2 linked regions of the Ovis aries genome follow. The protein of the gene in region 2 interacts with the protein of the main gene of each other region in a pairwise test. Links are inferred from orthologs where the notes say so. Each region holds a gene or a part of one and is shown on either strand. Other genes may lie near its edges.

Region 1 (3,646 bases), on a different chromosome or scaffold from region 2:
GGAGTGGAGGGTGTCTGGCCCACCCACTCACCTATCCTTGTTCCTGGCGGCCCCCCCAGGCCAGCCCACACCTGGCAGCAACTCCAGGGGCCAATGGCCTTGCTCCCAGGGAGAGGTCCGTTCTTTGGACCCCGCTGAGCAGAGAGCAGCCCCAGACTTGTCCATGCTGGCAAGGCTGCCTGTGCTGGGGGCCATCCTCCCCTGCCAGGTATGTGGGGCGGGAGGCGGCCAGCCACAGGGACTCGGCGGGGAGGAAGGGACTCGGCGGGGAGGAAGCCCCACGGGGTACCTCCACACTGGGCCCGTGACACACAGTCGCTTTGCCCCTGCCCCCAGCACCTCCCCCCCGCCACCGCCCCGCTTTCCACTCTGAGTCTGGTTCCACTTACAGAACCTTTATTGAGCGCCTGCCCTGTGGAGGGACATGTGTGGTGCAGACCCCCTCCACACCGGCCCTGAATGCCTTGGGGACCACCTGGCCCCCGGGACACCCCCACCTCCCTCTGACACCCATCTCTTGGGCATCTGTGACACCCTGCAGTGCGGGGACCCCGTCTCCCCAGCACCAGCCCCCAGCACAGGCAGCAGCGGGGTTCTCTGGGCCAGGGTGCTGTGAAGCTCGTCTGGGAGTGGGACCTGGGGCTCCTCAAGGTTTCTGGATCACCACCTGGAATTTACCTGGAAGAGAAGGGCTGGCCTGAGCTCGAGGCTGGGGCCGGAGGGGAGAGGTGGCACCCCAGCTGCTCTGAGCCGTTCACCCGGGCCCAGTGCCCTCAGCCTGGGTGGCCCTGGTTGGACCTCATTGCCTCGCTGGCCTGAGATGATGGTGCCCTAGCCCCACCCCTGGCCTGTGCCCCAGGGCTGTGTGGGTGGCTGGGGGCACGAAGGGCAGGCAGCAGGTCAGGCACGTAGGTTGTCGGGGAGGGACCTGGCCCAGTTTCAGTGGCACATGTGGCTCAGATCCTGCCGGCTTGGGCCCCAGTCCCCTATGATGTGTGGCCCTGGGGACTGGCAGAGGGGAAGACGCCCGAGGGAAGGGTGCGTGGAGGGCTGGTCGCAGGCAGCCCCCAGGGAAGGGTGGGGCCTCGGCTTGTCCTTTGGCGGGCACTGTGGGCCAGCAGGGCCCCGGGGTCAGGAGGACACCCCCTCACACTGGCTGCCTTTGGAGCTCCTCAGCCCAGCACCGCCCACCCCACCATCCCCAGGTGACTCCTATTGTGTCCACCTGGGTTCTTGCACTGGGAAGAGTGTTGGAAAACACTAGCCCAGGTCCTTGTCGTCGGCTGTCCCCGCCAGGCTGGCACGCCCAGGGAAGCAGTCTAGGAGGACATCGGGGGCAGGGCCGTGGATGGGCTGCACCTCCTGTGTGGCCTGGGCCTGGGACTTCAGCTCTCTGGGCCATAGATTCCCATCTGCAGTGGGGCTGGGCGGCCCGGCCCCACCTCCACGGCCCCTGGGAGCAGGGGGGATCCCCCCCACCCCAACTCACAGGCGGGCAGGGCTGCCACGGAGGCGGTGACCAGGCTCTTGACTCCCAGGGTGCTGAGGGTGCCACGCAGGAGGCCGCAGGTGAAGGCCAGGAACTAGGGGCGGGGCACACAGGTCACCGTGGGCAGAGCAGGGGGAGGCCAACACCCCGGGGCCACGTGGGCTTGAGCGTTCACAGCGGGGTGGAATGGGTCCGCCTCCCTCTCCCAGGGTCCTGGGCTTGGGAAGAGGCCTCTGCCCCAGGCTGGAATCACGCCCGGTACCTTGGGTGCTTCCTCCAGGTACTGTAGACCCGAGGCCATCCGGACGAGGAGGGGAAAGCTGTTGTCCTGCAGGACGTAGGTCCCCTGGGGACAGAGGAGGGTCCCAGGGAGCCGATGTGGCACCTGTACCTTCCTGGTGGGGGCAGGGAGGGGAGGCAAGGGCCCAGCACCGCCACCCTGAGGTCCGGAAGGACCCTTCCCACAAAATGGCTGTGGTCGGTCTTGGGCCGTCCTTCGAGGCTATATGAGGACCCGTGGACCCTCCGACCAGGGCCTGGTGTCCTCCCCTCCACGCCCCTGCTGCACGATTTCCAGGGTGCCCGGTGGGGAGAAGATACAGCCCAGGCCATCAGGCCACCAGCCAGGCCCAGCGTGGGTGCCTAATGGGAACGAGGCTCGGGTGCAGACAAGCCGCGTCAGGCCGAGGCACAGCCGCAAGCCGCGAGGGGCCTGTCCTGGGGGGCCTTGTGGGGAGGCCCCGAGGGGAGCTGAGCCTGCTGTGACTGCCCTGAGCCTGGGTCCCCTCCCTGGGTTCCCGGGGCTCCGGCCTCTGCCCGCTGTCTGCCCGGGGGGCACACACCTGGTGGTTGGTGCGGAGGCTATCCATCTGCTTGTGGAACACGGCCACCCACAGGTCTTTGCACAGGAACTTGAGGATGTCCAGCTCTTCCCTGAAGGCTAGCGTTTCCCGGGGCAGCCTGGGGGGGGAGCAGCAGCAGACACTGTGGGGGCCAGGCTGGGGGAGCCCCGGGGTGAGGAACAGGGAGGAGACTGGCTTGGGATCCTGTCTGGATCGAGGCACCCTCCCCACCCATTTGCCCAGGAAGGGAGCCCACTGCAGGTCCTGCCCGCCTCTCACCTCTCGCCCAGGGCCTGGCCCACACGGAAGCCCATGCCCTCCAGGACCAACAAGCTGGTCTTCTGTCCCTAGAAGGCCAAGGAAGGGAGGCTCAGGGGCCCTCGGCCACCTCCAGCCGGGAGCCAGCCGGTATAGCAGCTGAGGGGGGCTTGTGTGTCCCTGCTGGTGCAGGGAGACAAGACCCAGGATAGAGGGCTTCCTGAGTGGCAGGCTGGATCCACAGACCGCACCGGCCCTCAGGCTCCGCTCGCCCTCACTCCGGGAAACACGGGGGTCCTGCCTAGGCTCAGCCTCACCTGTTGTCTTTCCTTGCAACTCCCATCACTTCCTGAGTGTACTTTCAGCGTCCGTCCTTAAACGCCCTGTGGGGTAGCACTCCCGTCACCCCAGAAACTCAAGGTGACTTGCCCTGGGGCTCATATGGCGAGCAAGGGGGCTGCAGTGGAGGGGCCACAGGGGTGGGCCCCCGGATGGGCCAGCAGGCGGATGAAACGTCAACTGTGATTATGAGGCCTTAAATATGAGCCGAGACTCCTGGGAGGGACCCGCAGGGGCTCAGGGGAGGCAGGGGTGGCCAAGTGGCCTTCCGGGGGGCCGGGCCAGGCCAGGGTCCCGCGGTGGGGGTGCTGAGGCGTGGGGACTGAGCGGCAGGAGGCCGCACTTGGTGTCTGTCCAGGTGTCCTGGAGCGTGGCTGGAGGAGAGCCGACCTGTGTATGTGGCCCATCTGTGTGACCCGGAGAGCGCTGAGCAGCAGAAATGCCAAGACGGAGTCAGGGGGGCCAGGCACACACCGGGGGGCGTGTGAGGAACATGCTGAATGAGCCGAGTGAGGAATCGGGACCTGGGCCTACGCTGTGCCAGCTGCCTTGTGCAGACCCCTTGTTTAACAGCCCCATAAGGTAGGTTGTGTTTCACATCTGGAGACCGGGGCACAGAGGGGTTAGGTCAGACCTCCCAGAGGCACCTTCGGACCTGAGCAGGTCCGGCTCCTGCATGTAGGTGGCTGACGGGCAGGCGACCAGGGCAACACTCGCA
Region 2 (3,646 bases):
ACCTCACCCACCAGGCCCAGCTGGCCCGGGCACTGTACGACAACACAGCTGAGTCCCCGCAGGAGCTGTCCTTCCGCCGAGGGGACGTTCTGCGGGTGCTGCAGAGGGAAGGCGCTGGTGGGCTGGATGGCTGGTGCCTCTGCTCCCTGCATGGCCAGCAGGGCATCGTGCCTGCCAACAGAGTGAAGCTCCTTCCCGCTGGCCCAGCACCCAAGCCTGGCCTCTCCCAGGTGCCCCCAACCCAGCCAGGCTCACCACATCCGGCCCCGGAGCATGGCAGTGAGGACCAGGAGGTAAGCACTGGAGCCCCCCAACCCTGATTCTGGACAACCTATTCCTCTCTGCTGCTTCAGGAGGGACAGAAAGAGCCCTGAGACCCCCAGCCCTGCACTGACCCTGCTGTTCAAATCCTGTCTGCCAAGTCTTTCTGGGCTCTTTCTCCACTGGCACAGGGAGGGGGTTGGAAGGTGTCTAAGCTCCTCCCAGGCGCACACTATGATTCCCTGCTCCCCACTCTACCTGACCCTCCTGCCTGTCGATCCCCCAGTTGTACGTGGTGCCACCCCCAGCTCGACTCTGTCCTACCTCGAGACCTCCAACTGGACCCTGCCCACCCTCCCCTGACCCCATCTACAAGGTCCCCAGAGGCGGTGGGACCCAACTGGCTGCCCCTGGAGCTGCCTTGGAGGTGAGGGCTAGGGGTTCATGTGTCTGTTGGACAGGGGACAGATGGCTCTCGGAGATGGCTTAGGGGAGTGGGGGGCCCACTGCCGAGCCTGAAAGTAACTAACTTCTCCCTCTGCAGGTCTACGACGTACCCCCCACTGCCCTCCGAGTTCCCTCCAATGGCCCCTATGACTCCCCGGCCTCCTTTGCCCGCCCTCTGGCTCAGGTTGCCCCCCAGTCCCTTGGAGAGGATGAAGCTCCCTATGACGTGCCTCTGGCCCCAAAGTCACCATCAGACCTGGAGTTAGATCTGGAGTGGGAGGGGGGCCGGGAACCAGGGCCCCCCCTCTATGCTGCCCCCTCCAACCTGAAACGAGCATCAGCCCTGCTCAATCTGTACGAAGCACCAGAGGAACTGCTGGCAGATGGGGAAGGCGGGGGCGCTGACGAGGGCATCTATGACGTCCCCCTGCTGGGGCCGGAGACACCCCCTTCTCCAGAGCCCCTGGGAGCTTCGGCCTCCAGTGACATGGACACCCTGGCCCTCCTTCTGGCCAGAAGCCCCCCAGCCCCACACAGACCCCGGCTGCCCTCAGCCGAGAGTCTGTCCCGTCGCCCCCTGCCTGCCTTGCCTGTGCCGGAGGCCCCCAGCCCTTCCCCGGCTCCTTCTCCTGCTCCAGGCCGGAAGGGCAGCATCCAGGACAGGCCCCTGCCCCCACCCCCACCGCGCCTGCCTGGCTACGGGGGCCCCAAGGTGGAGGGGGATCCGGAGGGCAGGGAGGTGGAGGACCACCCGGCAGGACACCACAACGAGTACGAGGGCATCCCAGTGGCTGAGGAGTACGACTACGTCCACCTGAAGGTGAGCTTGCCTCAGTCAGCACCCACAGAATGCCTCCAGGAGAATGGGGGTCAAGACCTGAGGTCCCAGAGGCAGACCCTGGCTTCCTCCATTCCCTTCTTCCCCTCCGCTGACCCTGCACCCTGTAGCCTGTGACCCCTGTACTGGGCCACATCATTTGTATCAGTGCCGCAACCCAACCTGGGGTCCCCAAGCTCTCTGACCTGCCACTAGGGCTCTCCCAGACCCAGAGTCAGGAGGCTGTGGATCCGATGGGAGGAGAGACCTTCAGGAGGAAGTGGGAGTGGGGAGGAGTGGGAAGACCACGGGGGCTGCCTTGCCCTGCTCCCCTACCCCTGCACTGAGGCCCTTATCCCCTACCGCAGGGCATGGATAAAGTTCAGGAAGCCAGGCCTCCAGATAAGGCCTCCCCAGGGGATCCTGAACAGCTGGAGAGGGGGCCGCCAGAGCAGCAGGTAACCCGGTGCGGTTGGTGCTAGAGAAGGGGGCAGGGGAGGAGGAGCAGGAACCTGGAAGAAGGGGTATTCTTAACTGAGGCATCGAGGGAAGTCTATTTAGGAGAGGGTAAGAGTTCAATGAAACAGGACAGTTGGGGTGGAGAGGAGTTAGAATCCAGAAAGGAGCTGGAACTTCGAAAAGGATATCAGGAATTCAGAAAGAGAGGAAAGAATGTGTTGGAGAGGAGTCAGAAAACCGAGCATTCGGGGGGGGACAGAGTTTCTGGGCCGGGTGACTTCTGAGGCTCCTTCCAACTGTGAATTCCTGGGTTCCTAAGAGACCTGGGTCTTAATTCCAGCTCCACCACTAAGAAGCCAGGGCCTCCGAAGCCACCAGTTAATCTCTCTGGGTCTCAAGGAAATGAGACTGTCTCCTCGACTCATGGTCTAGAATGGTCCTAATCGCCATAGCTACCATCTGTCACGTTTGTACCAAGCGCCAGAACCTGTGCTAAGTACATTGCACCTGTCAGCACTGATCATAGCAATAGTTAGCACTCATACGGTGCTTACAGTTTGCAGTGCTGTGTTCTCAGCTCTTTTTGTGAAGATCAGCTAATCTTCACTGCAGCCTTAGGAGGCAGAAACAAGAACTGCAGGATCCAGTGTGGTAACCACACGCCACATGCAGCTACTCATCCCCAAGTGTGACCAGTCCGAACTGAAATGCACTGTAAATATAAAATGCACACCAGATTTTGCAGACTTAGTATGGAAAGCAATTTCAATAATTTTTACATTAATTACAGTGTTGAAACTACACCATTTTTAATATATGGAATTACAAAATAGGTACCAATTTCTTTGTAACTTTTCTAACGTGGCTACTTGGAAATTTGAAATAGCATATGTGGTTGGCATTATGTTTACATTGGACAGTGCAGTACTAGGCTCCCCGTAGATAAAGAAGATAAAGGAAGATAAAGAAGATAAAGGAGATAAAGGAATGATGACGTTCAGAGACTTGTTTCTGAGGTTGTTTGAATCCAGATTTATCAAACATCAATTCTGGGCATCTTCCTGTCACTCGCTAAGAGAATCTAAGTTGTCTGATAGGAGAAGGTACAGTTTAAAGGGGTCGAGCTCAGGGAGAAAGGAAGGCATGAGGAACAAAGGGAGGGAAGGAGAAAGGAAATAAGAACGGAAGTGGCACTGGCCAAGCAGTCCTGCTGAACCCTCTTCTCGCCCTTAGGAGGCCCTGTCCCCTGGGGAGCCACTGGTTCTGCCCACTGGAGATCTACAGCTCCTGCACTTCTACGCTGGGCAGTGCCGGGGCCACTACTCAACACTGCAGGCGGCCGTGGCGGCCCTGATGTCCAGCACCCAGGCAAAGCAGCCCCCGCGCCTCTTTGTGCCCCACGGCAAGCGGGTGCTGGTGGCCGCCCACCGCCTGGTGTTCGTTGGGGATACCCTGGGCCGCCTGGCAGCCTCTGCCCCTCTGCGAGCACAGGTTGGGGCCGCGGGCACAGCACTGGGCCAGGCATTGCGGGCCACCGTGCTGGCCATCAAGGGGGCCGCCCTGGGCTACCCATCCAGCCCTGCAGCCCAAGAGATGGCGCAGTGTGTGGCAGACCTGGCAGGGAGGGCCCTGCAATTCACCACTCTGCTCACCAGCCTGGCC

The links.
Region 1: the proteins of EFS (region 2) and TRAPPC6A interact in binary tests that used the Homo sapiens proteins (3 or more experiments, as listed by UniProt). The two-hybrid records come from large-scale screens. The link is inferred for Ovis aries from reciprocal best matches to the Homo sapiens genes EFS and TRAPPC6A.

What each region holds. Positions count from the first base shown.
Region 1 is NC_056067.1:52,607,482-52,611,127, forward strand, and holds the end of TRAPPC6A (trafficking protein particle complex subunit 6A), read right to left. Parts: intron 2,679-3,646; coding exon 2,611-2,678; intron 2,450-2,610; coding exon 2,332-2,449; intron 1,836-2,331; coding exon 1,752-1,835; intron 1,584-1,751; coding exon 1,490-1,583; intron 679-1,489; coding exon 647-678; 3' UTR 380-646; downstream 1-379. UniProt on the Homo sapiens protein: May play a role in vesicular transport during the biogenesis of melanosomes.
Region 2 is NC_056060.1:21,375,895-21,379,540, forward strand, and holds part of EFS (embryonal Fyn-associated substrate), read left to right. Parts: intron 1-14; coding exon 15-293; intron 294-547; coding exon 548-688; intron 689-805; coding exon 806-1,528; intron 1,529-1,893; coding exon 1,894-1,983; intron 1,984-3,217; coding exon 3,218-3,646. UniProt on the Homo sapiens protein: Docking protein which plays a central coordinating role for tyrosine-kinase-based signaling related to cell adhesion. May serve as an activator of SRC and a downstream effector. Interacts with the SH3 domain of FYN and with CRK, SRC, and YES.